3 linked regions of the Elephas maximus indicus genome follow. The protein of the gene in region 2 binds, or shares a complex with, the protein of the main gene of each other region. Links are inferred from orthologs where the notes say so. Each region holds a gene or a part of one and is shown on either strand. Other genes may lie near its edges.

The links.
Region 1: STX18 (region 2) and BNIP1 share a complex: the UniProt entries of both Homo sapiens proteins name them as parts of the SNARE complex. The link is inferred for Elephas maximus indicus from reciprocal best matches to the Homo sapiens genes STX18 and BNIP1.
Region 3: STX18 (region 2) and VAMP7 share a complex: the UniProt entries of both Homo sapiens proteins name them as parts of the SNARE complex. The link is inferred for Elephas maximus indicus from reciprocal best matches to the Homo sapiens genes STX18 and VAMP7.

Annotation. Positions count from the first base shown.
Region 1 is NC_064820.1:192,250,189-192,257,711, reverse strand, and holds the start of BNIP1 (vesicle transport protein SEC20), read right to left. Parts: upstream 3,015-7,523; 5' UTR 2,980-3,014; coding exon 2,896-2,979; intron 184-2,895; coding exon 91-183; intron 1-90. UniProt on the Homo sapiens protein: As part of a SNARE complex may be involved in endoplasmic reticulum membranes fusion and be required for the maintenance of endoplasmic reticulum organization. Also plays a role in apoptosis.
Region 2 is NC_064823.1:156,987,056-156,994,122, forward strand, and holds the start of STX18 (syntaxin-18), read right to left. Parts: upstream 3,054-7,067; 5' UTR 2,950-3,053; coding exon 2,782-2,949; intron 1-2,781. UniProt on the Homo sapiens protein: Syntaxin that may be involved in targeting and fusion of Golgi-derived retrograde transport vesicles with the ER.
Region 3 is NC_064846.1:109,653-117,482, reverse strand, and holds the start of VAMP7 (vesicle-associated membrane protein 7), read left to right. Parts: upstream 1-4,777; 5' UTR 4,778-4,916; intron 4,917-7,830. UniProt on the Homo sapiens protein: Involved in the targeting and/or fusion of transport vesicles to their target membrane during transport of proteins from the early endosome to the lysosome. Required for heterotypic fusion of late endosomes with lysosomes and homotypic lysosomal fusion.

The sequences.
Region 1 (7,523 bases), on a different chromosome or scaffold from region 2:
CAGCTCTGAAGCATCCACTGATGCAGAGGTTAGTCTCAGGACTGAGCCCCCTTCACTGTCATCAAACATCTTGGTTCTGTAGCCACTCACCTGTATTCTGTGCCGTAACTGCTGAAACTTCTCTTTCACTTTAGCGTTCAGTTCAGTAAGTGCACTTAATGGTCCTGAACAATCGCGAATATCCTAGGACACATTGAAGAGAAGAAGGAGAAATTAAACCATCTGTACCGAGAGACAGTTCTCCTAGACCACAGCTAAGGTTGGCCTACTAACTGTCATTCATCCCAATATCTCGTTGACCTCTGCCACACAACCAAAACCATTATTATTTACATTTTTCTCATCCCGCTTCAGAATAATGTTGAACAGATAACATAAAAGCAAACCAAGAAATGCAACTCTGGCTTGACCTAGTTATTAGTCCCTAAATTTTTTTTTCTTTAAATTTTAATAAAGTAGCCCTGGTGGTACAGTGGTTAAAGTGCTCAGTTGCTAACCTAAAAGCTGGTCGTTCAAGCCCACCGGCCACTCCATAGGAGAAAGATGTGGCAGTCCGTTTCCATAAAGATTACAGCCTTGGAAAACTTATGGTGCAGTTCTACTCTGTCCTGTAGGGTTGCTATGAGTCAGAACCGACTCTGCGGCAATAAGCGTTTTTTTTTTTTTTTAAAGTTTAACAGGAGTCCCTGAGTGGTGCAAACTTCTGAAAAATCGGCCATTGAAAACCCAATGGAGCGCAGTTCTACTCTGACAAACATGGGGTTGCCATGAGTCAGAATCGACCAGAAAGCACCTGGTTGGTTAAAGTGTAACAAAACATCACCTGACCAGTATGAAGGGTTTATTATAACTTTAGATCTTTCCAACTTGAAAATCATGATGCTTATATTTCTGTCATCATACAAGATTAATGGTTTCAAACCATCTATTATAAATCACAATGTCTACAGACATATTTAGGGATTTAGAATTTGTTTCTGGACATTCAGAATTACTGGGGCTAGGTTTTAGAGTGGCTCTAGAACCAGACTATGTGTATCCAAATTCTGGCTGTAGCAATTTATTAGTTGTGTAAGTTTGAGAAAGTTACCTAAATTCTCTCTGTCTCAGTTTCCTTATTACTTATCTCAAAGACTATGTATGTTTAGAAAGCTTTGAGCAGAGCAGCTGGAACACAGTAAGTGGGCAGTGAATGTAGCTATTATGAATCTCTCTCATTAGCAATTACAAGAACCCAAATGTTAGAGAAAGGGGCCTAAACAATTTAGATTGTGTGAAAAGGTCATTTCATTTGTATGAGCTCTCAATTAATTTTTCTAGAGTTGTCTCAGAAGTTTTGTGGCTTAATACACATGAGATGTGATGTTCAAGTGTTTGCATCAAGTTTCTTCACTTGTTCTCTGGCTTACTCCTTAAATCACACACCCTTGCACCATATGATAAACTGCTAATTTGGTTTATTCTGCATATGTTCTACCCAAGAAGTCCTACTTTCCAAACTTTGCTTTTTGCCATAACTTGTTGCAAATTCTGAGTCTACGTCTAACATTTAATGACAGTTTGTTGGAAGCAAAAATGACTCGCTTAAAGCTAAGATTATATGAGACCAGAAGAACCGGATGGTGCCCAGCTACCATTACTGGACATTTTGATCAAAGATTCTATAGAAAAATCCTGGTCAAAAGGGGGGTAATGTGAAACAGATTTTCAAATTCTCATGGAATCTATAGACTTTCTGGAGCCATGGAGGCTGGATGAACCACTGAATCTACTGCCCTTAATCTTTAAACCTTAAAGCAAAAATATCTTCTAAAGTCTTCTTTAAACCAAACAACAGTTTAGCTTAATTTAGTAAAGAATGTCTGCCTTGAACATTGTGCTCTTTTTAAGATCTATCTCTACAGGATCAAATTGAGAACAGCAATTTGAAAGCTTAGATAGGAAACTTAAGGGGCAGTGAGTTTGTCAATGGGGGAGGAACAATTTAGAAAAAGAGGATGAGAATGGTTGCACAACTCAAAAGAATAATCAATGTCACTGAACTGTATATGTAGAAATTGTTGAATTGGTATATGTTCTGCTGCATATACTCTGAAGAACAAAAACAAATTTAAAAAAATTTAAAAACTAAGGTTTAAAACTCTGGATTTCCTTTTGGTAAACTTAGGGAACTACATTCCTAACTCTTGCTGTTGTCAACTGATTTATTGCACTACTGCCTCTCACCTTAAATGGTAGTTTAAGGGCCCTGATGATGGGTTAAAGCAAAACACTTCAATTCCCCCATACACTAAACAGAGGGACTCCCTAAAGTCCTTTCCCCGAGCAGACTTCTCTTGTCCCGGTCCTAGTTTTGCACCGTCTTTGGATTCAGGCATTCGCGCTTTACTCAATTTCCTCATTTGCGGTCCACGTTACATTCATTTCACCCGGTGCCTACATGCCAGGTGGTGCCACGGGGCACCCGGCAGGGCGCGGAGCTAATGGCCCCCCCGCGAGGCTATCGCGGGAAAGCGGGGGGGGGTGTCAAAGGCGGGGGCAAGCAGCCACTAAGAGGGGAATAACGGGGTGACAGGTATGTTGTGAGGTAGTCGGAGGCGGGGCAAGGCCAGGGAGGGGAGGCCACAAAGGGGAGGCTGGGCAGAGGCGGGCGACATGGGAGTGGTCCGAAAGGGAGCAAGCCAACGGCACCCGGATGGAGGATCAAGGCCAACAGTTACCAGGACTTGACCAAATGGGTACGACATAGGGGTACTCGGCCACCCGGCGGGGCCAAGAGTCTCGAAGAACTGACCAAGTGGGGACAGTTCGGGAGAGAGACCGCCGAGCGCCCAGGAGGCCGACGGAGCTTGGATTAGGGCGGCTGGAACCCGGCAGGGTTCTGGGAATTAGTACCTGGATAAGCGCCTTCACCTCCAGATCGAATTTGACAATCTCTTGGTTACAGATCCGGACGTGGACATCTTGGGGTGCCGCCATGTTGGGACGCCTACTACGGACAGCGGCGGTGCCCAAAGTTCAGATGCGTTTTCGCACCTCCTTCTTTCCCTCCCCTCCTCGTCTTGCAGCAGCGCCACCTTAAGACCGGTTTGAGTGTGGCAGGAGCGAGAGGTCGGCACCGAAACTTCTAACGCGGGCTCTTGATAGTCATTTGCAAAGGTTTCCTAATAACTAGGCATTCTGGCGGCTAAGTGGATGAGAGCTCAGTCTGTTAACCAAAAGGTGGGCAACTCGAATCCACCAGCCGCTCCTTGAAAACCCTATGGGGCAGTTCCACCCTGTCCACAGGGTCGCAGTGAGTCGGAATCAGCTCTACGGCACACAACAACCCCGACACATGGGGAAAATCAGCCTCGCCCCTTGGTTTTACTGTTATAAAACCAGGCCGAAGAGAATATCAAAAACGGCTGACAGTGGCCTTTCCCCGTCTTCCGCCAATCACTCTAATGACTTTTTAAATAGAAGGGAAAAAAAAGACTGGAAGAAAAATGGTAATTGGGATGTCTCTTAGCGGGTTCTGGGAAGTGGAATTAACAAGTTTTTAAATATTCCTTTAAACTTTTTCACACTTTCTAGAGTGAGTATAAATTGTGGGGTAAAAGAGAAAATGGTAAACATATATATATATATATATATATTTTTAACGTATGGAATTCAAGGCAAGTGGCTTGAGCACCTCCTGTCACCTCATCTCACTGTCCGGATATTTCTAGAACCCAGAATTGATTAAGTCACCTCCCTGCTTACACCCCTTCCATAGCTTCTGGTGGTTCTCCTTTGTGTACAATTGAATTTATTAATTCTACCTCACTGCAGTAGTTTTGATGTATTAAGTAAAATAATGTAAAAGCAGGCCCCCAACAAATTGTGGCTCTTTTATTTTTATTGTTGAACAGCTCGTTTCTTAGCTGGTCCTCAAGGTCGTGGGGCACCTTCCTGGATTCCTAAAGCTATGTCTGAATCTGTAGTCTTGTGATGTGTTGTTCCCTCTTCCTAGTGTTTCCTTCCCCATCCTCTCCTCCCCACATCCCACCCACTTTTCCCCAGCTCACTTCAATAAGCATCAGTTGTGAGGACCTGAGTGCCTGTTTCTCTTAATCCTTACAACCACCCTTGAAATAGGTAATGCCCTAGTGTTACGGATTGAATTGTGTCCCCAAAAAAGTTACTTTCTAGTTCTAACCTGTGAATGTGACCTTCTTTGTAAATAAGGTCTTTGCAGATGTTATGGATTACCATGAGGTCTTATTAAAGTAGGGTGGATCCTAATGGTGTGTTAATAAAAGAGGAGACACAGAGACAGAGGGAAGAGGGCCATGTGACCACAGCTGTGCTGCAGTTGCAAGCCAAGAAACAAGTCAATTCCAACTCAGAGGACAGAGTAGAACTGCCCCATAGGGTTTCCAAGGAGCGGCTGGTGGATTCAAACTGCCAATCTTTTGGTTCACAGCTTAACGCTGAACCACTGCACCACCAAGGCTCCAAAGCCAGGAGAGACAAGAAAGAATCTTCCCCTAGAGCCTTCAGACAGATCTTGGCCCTGCTGACACCCTGAATTCGGACTTTTCGTCTTCAGAACTGTGAGACAATAACTTTCTGTTCTTACAAGCCACCTGATTTGTGGTATTTTGTTATGGCAGCCCAAGGAAACGAATAGACCCTGTTTTACAGATCAGGGGACGGACTAAGTGGATTTTAAAAACCCGCCCCAAGGTTACCCAGCTTGAAAGTAGCAGAGCCATAGCTGAAATTCACATCTTCTCTCAAAACTCAAACGTGGCCCTTAGGTAGTGTTGTACAAGCAGAGCTATGGGACTTGCTTGCCCCTCTGTGTTCCTATAGCACTGGCACACCCCTCCCTTAAGGAGTTGTCATCCCACTTCATCTAACAGAGAGGCAGGGTTACGCAAGCTTGGGCATCCACCCTGGCTCAAATCCTGCTCTACTTGAATCTTGTTCTACAGCTCACTTGAGGGCTCTGTGCCTCATTCTCATCAGAGCCTAACACCTACTTCACAGGGTTAGTTTGGGGATTAAATGAGATAATACATGAAAAGCACCAGGCTCAATACCTGGCACATGGTAAGAGCTCAATGTGCATTAGCTGCTGTTAATACTGACATTTTTGAGCACTCCTTATGTCGCAGGCACTGTGTCCTAAGTGCTATGTATTCATCTCATTTAACCCTCCAAACAACTCTGTAAGGTACAACTATCTGCATTTTAAGATGAGGAAACAGGCACAGAGAAGAATAATGAATTGCCTAAGGCCACAGAACGAATGGAACTGCTAGGTCAAATGATATATGCATTTAAAAATTCTGGTACATTGCTCTCCACAGGAGTTATATCAGTTTACACTCCCACCAGCAACGTGGTACAAATGCCTGTTTTCCCATCCATGGTCTCACCAACATGCTGTGTTAACAGCTGGATTTTTGCCAATCTGCTTAGATGAAAATGCTATTCTTTAATTTGCATTCCTCTTATCATGAATGAGATTGAGGATCTTGTGTTGAAGAGCTATTTGTATTTGCATTTTAGTCTGCTCATTTTTCCTATCAATTTCTAGGAGCTCTTTATATATTAGGATTAGCACCTAGAGATGAGTTGCAAGTTTTTTTTCTGACTATAGAATTCTGACTTGGCTTATGGTCGCTATGAGACAGAATCGACGGCAATGGGTTTGGTTTGGTTTTTTTTTTTTTTTCTGGTTATGGTGTTCTATGGCTGTATTTTTTTTTTTTTTTCTCAGTTTTCATTCATGGCTCCTCAATTTGAGGTCCAAGTTAGAATGGCCTTCCCCACCCACAGGAGTTTAAAGGAACCCTTCCACATTTCTTTATAGTGTTTTTATGGTGTTTTTCTTTTTTACATTTACATCTTTATCCATTTTGAAATACATGCTGGCTTATGGTGTGAGGTATAGAACCAGCTTTACTTTTTTCAGATGGTTCCCTGGTTGTTCCAACACTATTTACTGAAGAATCCATCCTTTCCTTACTGGTTATGAATGACACATTTGCCATACTAAATTCACATACATATTTGGGTCTATTTCTAGACTTTCTATTCTGTTCTATTGGCCTATCTACTCATTCGTGCACTAAAATTATACTGGTTTCATAATTACAGTTTTATATTTTAATGTTTGTTAGGACTGAACACCCTTTTTTTTTTTCCCTCTAGCATCCTCTAACTTTTATTCCCCCCCCCCACCCGCATATGAATTTTAGTTTTGTCTTGCTTTTGAAACCCTACTGGTATGTTTTATTGGGATGGCATTAAAGTTTTATTTAACTGAGGAGGACTGATGGTTTTACGTTGATTGCTCCTGTTGAAGAGCTTGGCGTTATCTATTTGTTCACGTCTTCTTCTGTGTCCTTCAGGGTATTTTAAAGTTTCCTTTATCTAGACCTTGTATGTTTTCTGTTTACTCTTGATGATGTTTTAAGATTAAAACCTTTTGAAGAAACAGGTTGATGTTCTTCAGGCCACTTGAGCATTTTGGATCCTCAAATGTTAGCACCCTATGTAGGACTGCAGCAAAGCCCAATGCCTGCAGCTGTGATCTGCACACATAACCTTGGGCCCTTTTTACATCATGCATTTTGCTAGAAATTCCTATACAAGCAAGTCCCCAAGCTGCATGTCTATGCCGCAGCTAGAGAAAACACAGCTCCCTTTTTCTTTTTTTTTTTTTTTATACCATACTCTCTTCTAATAAAGACAGCCAATCCTAAACCATTCTGCTAGAAGCCACCTGTTAGGGACACGTGTGCAATCTGGTGACCCAGTGAGTGTCAGTCACTCACAATGCTCTTTTCCTTCACCAGTCACCTTTATCCATTGATTCTGAGACCAGCTTTTGATTGATCTGTTTGCTAGATTCTGGTTTTAGTTCTTTCTGGTTTTCAGATTATAAGCCCATTATTTCCCTTCTACACAAACATCTTTCAAAATCTTGCCTGTGTCTTGGCCTGGCACCTTAGAAATGAGTACAAATTATCTGTGTAGTGCAGCAAACAGAATGGAGTTTGAACTGGGGCTCTATATTAGCTGGGTCCGTGGCATGTCACCTGTAAAATGGCCATGACCACCAGCCTCACTTAGCTGTTGAGTAGCACCTGAGGTCCTTGATGGGAAAACCCCTAGCAGAAGCTTAATGAATGCTGCACCCCCAGGACTTTCTAACACCTTGGTATTCTGAACCTGCTAGCCAGGACATTAATGCATTTCCCAACTAATGTTTTTCCTTCTTTCAAATCCTCTTGTGTGGCTAAAGAGCTCACCTGGTTCCAAAATCACTGTCAGTGAAGAAGGGCAATTGAGTGACCCATCGAACTGGGTGCCACACATAGGTTTAGTTTCCCAAGGACAATACTCACCCTGTTCACCCAGCACCTTGAACTTCCCGTTACAGAAGCTCCTATGAGGAGTGGTTCTGAAAGGCCAAGTCCCGAAGCAGAACCAGTCCATGGGAAGCCACGACCACGGTGCTTCCTCACTACCCGCCAATGTCA
Region 2 (7,067 bases):
AGACGGACGGAGGGAGGGAGGCAGGGTCGCAAGACCAGCAGGTGACACGTAAAGCAACTGCAACGTTAAAACACAGTTCTCGGAAGTGTGCGTGTTCGCCCTACGGCAGGAGGGACAGCGGCTCCGAGTGACACAGCTCCCGTCCCTGCTTAGCAGGATCTCCAAGTCTTGACACCTCCCTGAGGACTCAGAATCAGCAGTGTTGACGAATCAGTGATCTGAGAGTCGGAACGCTGTAATTGGCTGCTGTCCAGTTGGCTCTGACTCAGGGCAGCCCAGGCACCACGGAACGGAACAATGCCCACTCCTGCACCGTCCCCATAAGTGGTGGCGAACTGGACAGTGTTCCAGTGTGATCCACAGGGTTTTCATTGGTTGATTTTTGGAAGATCGCCAGGCCTTTCTTCCTAGCCCACCTTAGTCTGAAAGCTCCGCTAAAATATACCCAGCATCATAGCAGCACATAAGCTTCCAAAGATAGAGGGGTGGTGGCTGCTCGTGAGGTGTACTGGCCAGAAATTAAACCCAGGTCTCCTGCAAGGGAGGAGAGAATCCTACCACTGAACCATCAATGCCTCATTCAGAGTCACAGAGGTACCCAGGAACGGCCTCGGCCTGACTGGGGGCAGGGGAGGAAGAATGTCTTGATTTCCCTTCCTCTCATTTCCATCCAAGAAGCCCCCCTTTGATCTGTTATATATAAGGGATCACTGTAGTTTTTAAAAGCCTTCTTTTAATAAGAACAAAAAAGGAGGGCACCATTTGCAGGTAAATAAACTGAGGTCATAAAACTTGCTTAACAGCAGCATCACGCGGCTAATGTGGCAGGGTTAAGCCAACAGCCTGGTCTCCTGGCTCCTTCTTGGGTGTCTTTCTACCACATAATACCTGACTGCCTACAGGACGAAGTCCACACTCAGCAGAGTGGTATACAAGGCCCTTTGAGATCCGCCACTGCCTGCCCCTCCAGTTGAATTTTTCTGGGTGTCCTGAATTCCAGTCACACTCAAATACTAATTGAACCAACTTATGTTAGGCTGTTACCTATCTCCATGCTTTTGTGCACACTGCTCTCTTAGCCTGAGATGCCCTCCCCCAACCTGTCTGAACAGGAACCAAATCTTTCGAGACTTGTTCCAGGCATGACTGGCTCTAGAAAACCCTTCCTGGTCCTCAGGTAGAACTGATCACACTCTCCTTTGTGCCTGACACATATTTCTATCCCACCACCTACAAAGTTTTATGGCACTTGTTTTGTTCGTATGTCTGCCTCTGCCATCACTCCTTTTCTATCGTGTTACCCTAACACAGTGCTGGTTAGAAGGTAGGTGCTTAAAAGATGCTTGTTAATGAACTAAATGTATTCATCTAGCCTAATCCCCCTTCTAATGCTTTAATATCCCCTGCAAACTGCCCTTCGTTGGTTCATGCATGCATACATTGATTCAAAAATACCTGAGTGTCTACACACTGCCAGGCATTGAACTGCGTGCCAAGCTAACGTGGATTTACTGTGAAGTTGATATTAGAACCTTAAACATCAGGGCCCCTCACTTATACTTTTCCCAAAGCTCTAAACCTGATTTTTTCTGTAATTTTGTATTTTTATTTCTCACAGAGGGCAGACAAAACTGTATGAGCTTTAGACCCCACAAAAACTAGATCCATTTTTGGTGCCAAGGATACAAAAGTGAACAAGGCAAACATTTTCTCTCTTCTTACAGAGTTTACTGTTTAGTGGGGGAAGGCTGACAACCATCTGTTCATTCATTCACTCAACATTTACTAAGCAATGCTATGAGTCAAGCATTGGGGATTCTGAAATGAAGCCAGCACTGTTCCTGCCCTTAAGGAGAAGGTCCCTGCTCAGAGAGATGAGGAAAGCTTGCAGTGTTCAGGAAACAGAAAGTAGTTTGGATGACTGACACATGGAGTGTTTGTGAAAGCTGATCCTAAACCAGTCTCAAGAAGTACTGAATTCTCATCCTTCAGCCAAAGATCAGACAAGCCTACAAAACAAACAATAATACACGTAGTTCAACCATGTATATGAGACTAAACGGTCACACCAGCCCAGGGGCAAGGATGAGAAGGCAGGAGGGGACAGGAAAGCTGGACCATTGCAAATGGGGAACCCAAGGTGGAGACAGAGAGAGTGTTGACATGTTGCGGGGTTGGCAACCAATGTCACAAACCAGTATGTGTATTAACTGTTTAATGAGAAACTAATTTGCTCTGCAAGCTTTAACCTAAAGCGCAATAAATTAAAAAAAAAAAAAAAGTGCTGAATTCTATCTACCTTGTGCCCTAACCTCCTGCAGGAGGCCAGGGGAGGGGAGAGGACAGCTGAATCAGGCATGGCCTTTAATCTCAATTCGAGGAAGGACGATGGGACAAGTGAACAGAAGAGGCGATGGCAGCGTGGCCGGCGAGGCGACAGGGGAGCAGGGGGCTGCGGGGGAGCTGCCTCCGCGTCCAGGCGCAGTGACGGCGAAGTCATTGCCACACACACCCGGGAACTCTGCAGACGCAGGTTTCCGAGCGCCTCCTTCCGCCCAAGACAAATCGGCTTCCTTAATTTCCCCAAACGCATGGCGTTCCTTTCCCCAGACAGCTGCCGGCTCTCAGAAGCCAGCTCGGCTGCTCCCTCCTGCGACCCCTTCTTCCAGGCGTTTCTTTCGCACAATGCCTGCGGGACCGGGTGCACTTTGGGGGTCTAGGGGTCCACGCCGCGGGTCCGCGCCCGGCTCCCGCCCGCCGTTTCCATAGCAACCAGCTCACCACTTCTCGGGCCCGGCTGGAGAAGTCTCCCTTGGGCCGAGGGCTCCGGCGGAACAGCTCGTCGCGGCTGCCATCTGCCCCGCCGCCCACCGCCACTCCCAGCGCCTTGTTCCGCGTCTTCACGGTCTTGACGCTGGCCCGGAACAGCAGCGTGATGTCCACCGCCATGGCGACCCGCACCCGCGGTCCCCACAGGGCCCCCCACGTCAGCAGCCGGCGACGCGCTGCGAACCCGGCTGCGAGAGGACCGTTCTCTCCCGCACGCCTCCGTCCAGCAACCGCAGCGCGAGGAGAAAGGTTCCGGCCTCCGCCGAGCTACCGCGGAGCGAGGAGAAAGGTTCCGGCCTCGCGCTGGCGCTCGGGGCGGATCCCGGAAGCTGCCTGGAAGTGCTCACCGGCGTCCTTTTCTTCTCCCCGAAAACCCCCCGGGCTTGGCCGCGCCGAGTGACTCTGGGTCCCCGACCGTCGTGTACGGCTTTGGGGAGTATGGGTCCGGGACAGCAGGATCGGAAAGCCGGACGGCTCGTTCCTTTCTCGTGGCTCCCGCCCTGATTGAGCCTGGGCCGGGCGAATCTCGGGGGACGCGGAGGCCAAACGGGCTTGTCCTTTGACCTCAGGGGGTCACAGTGTGCGTGTCGCAGGGCAGGGACAGAGCAGTGTCCAAGGGACACGGATGGAGCAGCTCGTCCCTAAAGTGGAGCCGACCCGTCTCAGGGTCGTTGTGAGAATTGTCAGTTAAGGCGTGTGAAGTGTTTTTGGTGTGGCCTGGCTCCTAGGAAGTGACCAGTAAATGTCGTTGTTGTTGTTGTTAGGTGCCGTCGAGCCGGTTCCGACTCAGCGACCCTATGCACAACAGAACGGAACACTGCCCGGTCCTGCGCCATCCTCACAATCGTTGCTATGCTTGAGCCCATTCTTGCAGCCACTGTGTCAATCCACCTCGTTGAGGGTCTTCCTCTTTTCCGCTGACCTTGTACTCTGCCAAGCATGATGTCCTTCTCCAGGGACTGATCCCTCCTGACGACATGTCCAAAGTATGTAAGGCGCAGTGTCGCCATCCTTGCTTCTAAGGAACATTCTGGCCACACTTCTTCCAAGACAGATTTGTTCGTTCTTTTGGCAGTCCATGGTATATTCAATATTCTTCGCCAACACCACAATTTAAAGGCATCAGTTCTTCTTTGGTCTTCCTTATTCATTGTCCAGCTTTGACATGCATATGATGCGATTGAAAATACCATGGCTTGGCCTTAGTCCTCAAGGTGACATCTTTGCTTTTCAACACTTTGAAGAAGTTCTTTGCAGCAGATTTGCCCAACGAGATGCGTCTTTTGATTTCTTGACTGCTGCTTCCATGGCTGTTGATTGTGGATCCACGTAAAATGAAATCGTTGACAACTTCAATCTTTTCTCCATTTATCATGATGTTGCTCATTGGTCAGTTGTGAAGATTTTTGTTTTCTTTATGTTGAGGTGTAATCCATGCTGAAGGCTGTGGTCTTTGATCTTCATTAGTAAGTGCTTTAAGACTCTTCACTTTCAGCAAACAAGGTTGTGTCATCTGCATAATGCAGGTTGTTAATGAGTCTTGCTCCAATCCTGATGCCCCGTTCCTCTTCATATAGTCCAGCTTCTCAGATTATTTGCTCAGCATACAGACTGAATAAGTATGGTGAAAGAATACAACCCTGACGCACACCTTTCCTGACTTTAAACCAATCAGTAGCCCCTTGTTCTGTCCAAACAACTGCCTCTTAATCTATGTAAAGGCTCAGCACGAGCACAACTGTTCTGGAATTCCCATTCTTCATAATGTTATCCACAATTTGTTATAATCCAGAGTCGAATGGCTTTGCATAGTCAATAAAACACAGGTAAACATCCTTCTGGTATTCTCCGCTTTCATCCAGGATCCATCTGACATCAGCAATGATATCCCTGGTTCTGTGTCCTCTTCTGAAACCAGCCTGAAGTTCCCTGTTGATATTCTGCTGCAGCCATTTTTGAATGATTTTCAGTGAAATTTTGCTTGCGTGTGATATTAATGATATTGTTTGATAATTTCCGCATTTGGTTGGATCACCTTTCTTGGGAATAGGCATAAATATGGATCTGTTCTAGTCAGTTGGCCAGGAAGCTGTCTTCCATATTTCTTGGCATAGACGAGTGAGCACCTCCAGTGCTGCATCTGTTTGTTGAAACATCTCAATTGATATTCCATCAATTCCTGAACCCTTGTTTTTTGCCAATGCCTTCAGAGCAGCTTGGACTTCTTCCTTCAGCACCATCGGTTCCCGATCATATGCCACCTCTTGAAATGGTTGAACATCGACTAATTCCAGTAAATATTAGCTGCTGTTAATATTATCCTTATTATTTGTGGTGGGGAAGAGGATCACAGAGAAGTTACCACCTGAGCAGAGATTTGAAGGATGAGTAGGAATTTATCAACTGGATATAAGGATGAAAGAGTGCCTCTTGTGTCACCAATCGCTAACTCAAGTCATAATATTTGCTTAAGTTGGCTGCAAGTCAGCTGTCATGAATTGAATTGTGTCTGCCCCTCTCCCCCCAGTATGTGTCAACTTGGCTAGGCCATGATTTGCAGTGTTGTGTGGTGGTCCTCCATTTTGTAACCTGATGTAATTATCCTCCATTTTGTGATGTGTTGTAAATCCTAACCTCTATATGTTAATGAGGCAGGATCAGTGTGAGGTGGATCTTGAGTCACAGCTTTACTTAGCTCACACCCCTACTCCAGTCACACCCTTGCTTGAGTCATACCCTTGCTTGAGTCACACCTTTTATCTTATACGAAGTAATAAAGCAGCAGCCTTTGATACTGTGGGAAAAATCCCACAGTGGAGATCACACCTCAGAGCTTGTATTTTCTTTTTCAGGCAAGACAAGTAAGCCACCGAGTGCTGGTTCAAACTAGTTCAAGAGACCTACAGTTAAATTTGGCTCATTAATTTCCTCGTAGGTACCAATTTTTCCACCCCTAAAAAAGCAAAGAAGGAGCCTTGGTGGTACAGTGGTTAAAACGCTCAGCTCTTAATTGAAAGGTCGGCAGTTTGAACCCACCGGCTACTCCCTGGAGAAAGATGGAGCAGTTTGCTCCCATAAAGACTTACAGCCTTTAAACACATGTACTGTGAAGTTTTATGTAACCCCCTGCCGTAGCATGATTTAGAATGTTGCTGTTGTAATTCACATGATCTCCCTGCTTGTAAGCTCTATAAAAGCGACCTCCCTAAACTTTATCCTTGAATAGTCTTGGAGACACCAGCCCCGACTGTTCCTTTCCTTGCAAGGAAATAAAGTTGCCTTTCTGATCTCCCACCTCAGCCTCTTGTTTATTGGCTTTGATGAGTTGCATCGAGCAGGACCTGGAGTTCCTGGCAACAATAAGAGGAGAGAGAAGTGAGCAGAAAAGGGAGGGACCTCACAACTACGAAAAAAGAGCCAGAGCAGAGCACATCCTTTGGACCTGGGGCCCCTGTGCTGAGAACCTGCTAGACTCACGGAACGATAGATGCCAAGGCACATGAAGATCTCCAAAGGAATGCCAGGCCCACAGATGTTGAAAGGAGACAAGGATCTTCCCCTAGAGCTGAAGCCCTGAATTCAGCCATCTAGCCTCCTAAACTGTGAGAAAATAAATTTGTTAAAGCCACCCACTTGTGGTATTTCTGTTTTAGCAGCACTAGAGAACTAAGACATCAGCCAGTTAATTTTTTCTGAATTTTGTTTCAACCAACCAAAACCAAACACATTGCGGTTCAGCCGACTCCAACTCAGAGCGACCCTATAGGACAGAGTAGAACTGCCCCCCAGGGTTTTAAAGGCTGTAAGTCTTTATGGGAGCAAACTGCTCCATCTTTCTCCAGGGAGTAGCCGGTGGGTTCAAACTGCCGACCTTTCAATTAAGAGCTGAGCGTTTTAACCACTGTACCACCAAGGCTCCTTCTTTGCTTCGAGGTCCAGTTTTAATTAAAGACCTCATTGATAAGCAGGTTTGCTTATTCTTTTAAAGAGGATGCACAACTATGTTGTTGTTTTTAGTTGCCATCGAGTTGATTTCTGACTCATGGCAACCCTGTGTGTGCAGAGTAGAACTGCTCCATAGGGTTTTCAAGGCTGTGAACATTTGGAAGATCACCTGTCAAGTCTTTCTTTCCAGGCACCTCTGGATGCCTTTGAACCTACAGCCTTTTGGCTAGAACTAGTCTAGCACTTAACTATTTGTGCCTTCTTGCAATTAGTATATGTATTAAAACTGGTTC
Region 3 (7,830 bases), on a different chromosome or scaffold from region 2:
AGATGGGATTAGACTAAAGGAGGAGGAGCAGGTTGTGGGAGAGAGGAGGGCAAAAATGTATTAGGTCAATTTGGGACTATGCTAAGTTTTAGGTACCTAAAAGAGATGCCCCCACCACTCGACTGTCAGTTTGTCCTACTGTGGTGGCTTGCATGTTGCTGTGATACTGGAAGCTTTGCCACCAGTATTTCAAATACCAACAGGGTCACCCTTAGTGGACAGGTCTCAGAAACAGCTGCAAACATCCATTAATAAACACAACATGGGATGTATGAATAATGAATCTAGGAAAATTCTAAGTTGTCAAAAATGAAATAGGATGCATAAATATCAATATCCTAGGCATTAGTGAGCTGAAATGGACTGGTATTGGCCATTTTGAATTAGATAATCATATTGTTTACTACTTCGGGAATGACAAATCGAAGAGGAATGGCGTCACATTCATTGTCAAAAAGAACGTTTCAAGATCTATCATGAAGTGCAACGCTGTCAGTAATAGGATAATATCCATATGCCAACAAAGAAGACTGGAAATCCTGGTGGTGTAGTGGTTAACAGCTACAGTTGCTAACCAAAAGGTTGGCAGTTCGAATCCACCAGATGCTCCTTGGAAACCCTATGGGGCAGTTCTACTCTGTTCTCTAGGGTTGCTATGAGTCAGAATCAACTCGACAGCAGCGAGGACAAAAAGACCAGTTAATACAACTACTATTCAAATTTATGCACCAATCACTAAGGACAAAGATGAAGAAATTGAAGATTTTTACCAATATCTGCACTCTGAAATTGATCAAACATGCAATCAAGATGCATTGATAATTACTCGTGCTTGGAACGGGAAAGTTGGAAACAAAAAAGGATCAGTGGTTGGAAAATACAGCCTTGGTGATAGAAATGATGCTGGAGTTCATGTGACAGAATTTTGCAAGACCAATGACTTCTTCATTGCAAATACCTTTTTTCAACAACATAAACAGTGACTATACATGTGGACCAAGCCAGAATAGATGCACAAGAATCAAATTGACTCCATTTGTGGAAAGAACCAACAATGGAGAAGCTCAACATCATCAGTCAGAACAAGGCAAGGAGGTGTGGAACAGACCACCAATTGCTCATATGCAAATTCAACTTGAAGCTGAAGAAAATTAGAGCAAGTCCATGAGAGCCACAATGTGACCTTGAGTGTATCCCACCTGAATTTAGAGACCACCTCGGGAATAGATTTGACACATTGAACACTAATGACTGCAGACCAGAAGAGTTGTGGAATGACATCAAGGACATCATATATGAGGAAAGCAAGAGGTCATTAAAAAGACAGGAAAGAAAGAAAAGACCAAAATGGATGTCAGAAGAGACTTTGAAACTTGCTCTTGAATGTCAAGTAGCTAAAGCGAAAGGAAGAAATGATGAAGTAAAAGCGCTAGACAGAAGATTTCAAGGGGCAGCTCGAGAATACAAAGTATTCTAACGACATGTGCAACGACGTGGAGTTAGAAAACCAAAAGAGTAGAACAGGCTCAGCATTTCTCAAACTGAAAGAACTGAAGAAAAAATCCAAGCCTCGAGTTGCAATATTGAAGGATTCCACAGGGAAAATATTGAACGACACAGGAGACATCAAAAGAAGATGGAAGGAATATACAGAGTCACTATACAAAAAAAGAATTGGTAAATGTTCAACCATTTCAGGAGGTAGCATATGATCAAGAACCAAAGGTACTTAAGGAAGAAATCCAAGCTGCACTGAAGACATTGGCAAAAAACAAGGCCCTAGGAATTGATAGAATACCAACTGAGATGTTTCAACAAACAGATGCAGCACTGGAGGTGCTCACTTGTCTATGCCAAGAAATTTGGGGACAGCTGCCTGGCCAACTGACTGGAAGAGATCCATATTTGTGCCCATTCCAAAGAAATATGATCTAACAAAATTTGGAAATTATCAAACAATAGCTTCAATATCACACACAATTAAAATAATGCTCAAAATCACTTAAAGGCTGTTGCAGCAGTGCATCGACAGGGAACTGCCAGAAATTCACCAGATTCAGAAGAGGATGTGGAACCAGGGATATCATTGCTGACATCAGATGGATCCTGGCTGAAAGCAGAGAATACCAGAAAAATGCTTGCCTGTGTTTTATTGACTATGAAAAGACATTCGACTGTGTGAGTCATAACAGATTACGGATAACATTGCGAAGAATGAGAATTCCAGAACACTTAATTGTGCTCATGCAGAACCTGTACACGGACCAAGAGGCAGTCATTCAAATAGAATAAGTGGGTACTGTGTGGTTTAAAGTCAGGAAAGGTGGGCGTTGGGGTTGATCCTTTCACCATATTTATTCAATCTGTATGCTAAGCAAATAATCCGAGAAGCTGGACTATATGAAGTAGAATGGGGCGTGAGGATTGGAGGAAGACTCATTAGCAACCTGTGACAAGCAGATGATACAACCTTGCTTGCTGAAAGTGAAGAGGTCTTGAAGCACTTATTGATGAAGAACAAAGACCACAGCCTTCAGTATGGATTACACCTCAACATAAAGAAAACAAAAATCCTCACAACTGGACCAATGAGCAACATCATGATAAACGGAGAAAAGATTGAAGTTGTCAAGGATTTCATGTTACTTGGATCCACAATCAACACCCATGGAAGCAGCAGTCAAGAAATCAAAAGACGCATTACATTGGGCTGCAAAAGACCTCTTTAAAGTGTCAAAAAGCAAAGACGTTACTTTAAGGGCTAAGGTGAGCTTGACCAAGGCCATGGTATTTTCAGTCATCTCATACGCATGTGAAAGCTGGATAATAAATAAGGAAGCCTGAAGAAGAATTGAAGACTTTGAATTACAGTGTTGGTGAAGAATATTGAATATACACTGGACTGCCAGAAGAACGGACAAATTTGTCTCGGAAGAAGTACAACCAGAATGCTCCTTGGAAGTGAGGATGGCCATACTTCGTTGTACGTACTTTGGACATGTTATCAGGAGGGAGTAGTCCCTGGACAAGGACATGAAGTAGAGGGTCAGTGAAAAAGAAGAAGACCCTCAATGAGATGGATTGACACAGTGACTGCAACAATGAGCTCAAGCATAACGATTGTGATAATGGCTCAGGACCGGACAGTGTTTACTTCTGTTGTACATTGGATTGCCATGAGTCGGAACCAACTCCACAGCACATAACAACAACAACAAAAAGAAGAGATGTCTAGCTGTCATTAGATATTTGGGTCTGAATTACAGGAGTCTTGTCTAAACAAACAAACAAACAAATTCCATTGCCACAGTCAGGAGTGGATTCTGACTCATAGTGACCCTATAGGACAGAGTAGAATTGCCACATAGAGTTTCCAAGGAGCAGCTGGTGGATTCAAGATGGATTAGAACAGCCCACCTTCCGGTTAGCAATCGAGCTCTTAACCACTCTGCCACCAGGGCTCCACTTCCTATATGTGGATATCACCAGTATATAGATGATAATCAAAGCAATAAGAATAGTTAAGGTCATCCAGGAAGAGTGTGAAGACTAAGAAGAGAGTGTAGGGCATAGCCCTATGGAACAGGAACATTTCAAAGGAAAATGAAAAGCTTCCACAGAGGTGGGAGGGGAACCGGGAGGGTGCAGCGTCTTGGAAGGTAAGAGAATAGAGGGCTTTAAGAAGGAGGGAATAATCAACCATATAAAATATTTCTTTTAAAATATTTCAGAGTTGAAGTAAGATAATTACTGAAAAGTGCCTTTGGTTTTAGCAACACTGTTGAGAATTGTAACTGGGAGGATAAGGTGGGGGAAAGACCGCTACCTTAAGTCTGAGTGTGGACAGGGGATTGAGGTTGAGGCAGAAGGGTTCTTCGATGGAGCTAGACTCTGAGCTAGGCAGGAGCGAACGGGGATATAAGGGGTGGGAGGGGGCGCTTAGATCAAAGGAGAGTAGTTTATTGTTGTTGTTATTGTTATTGCAAAAGAATTGCAAAAGAATAGGAGAGAGGGTAGGTGAGTGGTAGAAGGAGTTTAGAAAACTTCCTGGCGAAAGTAGAGGGAGTTGCTGTTGGATGAATTCTATTTTGTCAGTGAAGTAACAGGCGAAGTCATTTGCTGGGACTAAGCCAGGAGGTGGCAGGGCAAGCCTGGCTCTTCATTTATCACACTGACTCCATGGTGGTAGACTCTTTCTGTGGTCCTTCAAACGAAAAATCAAATCAAACCCGTTGCGGCGACCCTATAGAACAGAGTAGAACTGCCCCCATTGGGTTTCCAAGAAGCCCTGATGGTACAGTGGTTAAGCATTAAACTGCTAACCAAAAGGTCAGCAGTTCAAATCCACCAGCTGCTCCTTGGAAACCCTATGGGAGGCAGTTCTACTCTGTTCTATAGGGTCGCTATGGGTCGGGTCGACAGCAATGGGTTTTAATCTTTATGGCAGCCTACTGCCACATCTTTCTCCCTGGAAGCAGGTGGTAGGTTCTAACCGCCAACCTTCCGGTTAGTAGCCGAATGTTTAACCACTGCGCCACTGGGGCCCCTTGTGGTCCTGGAACTTCTAATTTGCCCAGTGTTGGTATAGCGCTTGGCACATAGTTTACAACAAGGAAGAGCGTTGAGGAAACATGTGACAAACTTGACGATATGACGGTCTGAACTACCATCCCCAGAATGCAGTGCGGCCTCTGGGAAGTGCAGGGCTGGGAAAGCAACTGGCCTCGCCCCTCCACCCACTCCCATTGGAGGAGTGCTCACATTCCCAAGAGGCCGCGCGCGAGCCGGGTGCTTTACGCGGAAGTCGGAGGCGCTCCAGTCCCAGCCTCCTGTGGGAGCGCGCTGTAGGCGGTGTCTCGCTAACTCCCGCTTTTCTGTGTCGAGCCCGCGCGCGTCCTCCGAGGGTGCCAGGACAGGTAAATGGAGCGGGGCGCGCTCGACAGGAGAGAGGGAGAATTCAGCAGAGGGAGGGTGACGGTGTTGACGGGAAGGTGCTGGGGGTGGAGCGAGGAGGCAGTGCAAAGGTGACTCGGTCTTCTCTGGTGTCAACAGTTCGATTTGTCGGGCAAGTCGAGTTTGGGCGAAGTCCGTTTTATGGCGCTGATAAGGCCTCGAGTTAAAGAGATTCGGAATGTGTTGCTTCAGCTGTTACAGGAGGGAAAAATGCTAACTTTATGTCGGTTCTCATTCTGTCGGATCTGTGTGTAGCATTTGAATCTCTCGATCACTGAGTCTTCTTAAAATTCCTCTCCACATCCTTGTTTCGATGGCGTCACTCATCTGGTTCACCTTCGACTTCTGGCTTTGAGGTATTCTTTGTACACACCTGGGCCCCTGCGCGCCCCCTCTCCACCGCCTGATGTTGGCGTTCCTCTTCCTCCTAAATTCGGGCCCAGACCTGTTTCCTGAGCATCAGCCCTGTATCTGTCATCACCATTGTTATTAGTGGCCAATATTTGTCAAACTCAGACTATGTATGAGACTCCTTAGGAAATGCTTTACATCTCCCTCACCCATAACCTCCACAAACAATTGGTTATCAAGTCCTTTTCTTTCTGTTTTATTAATTGCTGTCAACTACCTGTACCTGCATTCTCCCACTCTTGATCCCAGAGGATACTGTCACATTTGAGAGACTCTTTTTATAGGGTGGCTATAAGTCGGAATCAACTCCACGCAATGGTTTTTTTTGGGGGGGGGTTTCTCTTTGAATAGCGGTGGCTGAGAACAGATTCATTCATTAGTTTAACAAATATTTCTTGAACAGCTAATATACACTTAGTCTTCTACATGTTAGAGATACAGCAGTAAACAAGACATGGAGGTCACTACTCTCAGAAGCTTACATGTTTGTGGGGGGTGGCAGGTGGGTTCAAACAGGAATAAATAAGATGATTTTATATGGTGGTTAATGCAAAATAAAACACATGGTTGACTTGACAGGGTAGAATCCTATCCTGAGAAAGACAGAGGGATTGGATTGTGTCTCAGAGCATCACCCAAAAAGAACATCTGTAATAATAACAATAGTCTTGATCTCTCACCAGGCTTCTTGTTGTATGCCATTGAGTCTACTCTGACTCATAGCAACCCAATGTGACAGAGTAGAACTGCTCCATAGGGTTTTCTAGATGGCACAGTGGTTAAGAGCTATGGCTGCTAACCAAAAGGTTGGCAGTTCGCACCCACCAGGTGCTCCTTGGAAACCCTATGGGGCACTTCTACCCCATCCTGTATAGGGTTACTATGAGTCGGCATCGCCTCCACAACAAACGGTTTGGGTTTTTTTTTTTTCTTAATCTTTATGGGAGCAGAGTGCTAGGTCTTTCTCTGGTGGAGTCAGAGTGGGTTCAAACCACCAACCTTTCTGTGCCACCAGGGCTTCTTCTGACTAGGCTTAGGGTTTTTTTTTTAATACATATATCACCTTCCCCTAAACTCCTGGTCTGTCATAGCAACGGTTGTTCTTTCTTCTTCTGTCTACTCTAAGATTATTACATCAGAGTTGGTGGTTTAGCTCTCATTGGTTTATTTCCTCTTAAGACCCAGACAGAAGAGTCTGGGTTGGATTACTATCAGCTCAACTGCTTTATCTTACTTGAGGAGATACTTTGGTAATGAAAATATTCTTGTAGCCAGGTCCTATTGTCTATAAAGTTATCTATCATTTATAAACCCAAAACAAAAAAAACCCAGTGCCATCAAGTCGATTCGGACTCATAGTGACCCTATAGGACAGAGTAGAACTGCCCCATAGAGTTTCCAAGGAGCGCCTGGCGGATTCAAACTGCCAACCTCTTGGTTAGCAGCCGTAGCACTTAAACACTGTGTCACCAGGGCTTCCCTATCATTTATAGTATAGTTAAAATCAAAACATGCTTGGTATTGACTCACTTATTTGTTCAACAAATATTTGAGGGAACGTCATATGATAGGCACTGTGCTGGGTGCTGGAAACGTAAACCAAAAAACCCAGACCCCTTGCCGACTCATAGCGGCCCTATAGGACAGAGTAGAACTGCCCCGTAGGGTTTCCAAGGCTGACATCTTTATGGAAGCTGACTGCCATGTCTTTCTCCCACGGAGCGGCTGGTGAGTTCGAAGTGCAGAACTTTTGGTTAGGAGCCAAGCACTTAACAAGGAGCTTGCAGGGCTCCTTGTACTGGGAATATAGTGAGGGTGAAATAGACTTTGACCTCTTCTCCAAGGGGAAATGATCATAACATTATACTGAGGGAATTCCTGTAACACATAAACTGACACGTGCATTCTTTTTTCTTCATCCAAATTGACTAGCCAAACTTTAGGAAATTTCCTCAGTGATCGTATATATTCTTAGGTTATTTACCTATACTTTCTGCAGTTATTTGTTTATGTCTGCCTTCCCCATTGTACTATGGATCCCTTGAGTATAGGGAACCTTCCTTACTCATCTTCATACCTCCAGAGTCTATCACACTGGCTGCCATATAGTAAACCCTCAGTACATGTTGAACTGAAATAGACTCTTTGATCAAACCCAAATTTCTACAAATCCTTTTATCAGCCTTATCCCTCAACTTTCTCACTCACCAAATGTGGGCCATTCCATCTCACCTTTACCTTTCCTAGCTTGTTCTCACCTGTGCTGTATTCCATAGCTCGCTCCTAAAATGAATTCCCTTCTCTTTCCTGAGCACCTTGTGTACCACCCCCATTACTTTGATGGGCCAATTAATTTAATAGTGTACCCCATGATACAGAAGTGGAAAATTTAATTTCCATTGTTTCTTTACTATTAAACATTCTGTTAATGAACTGTTGCAAGAATTCACATCCCCTTGCAATGAT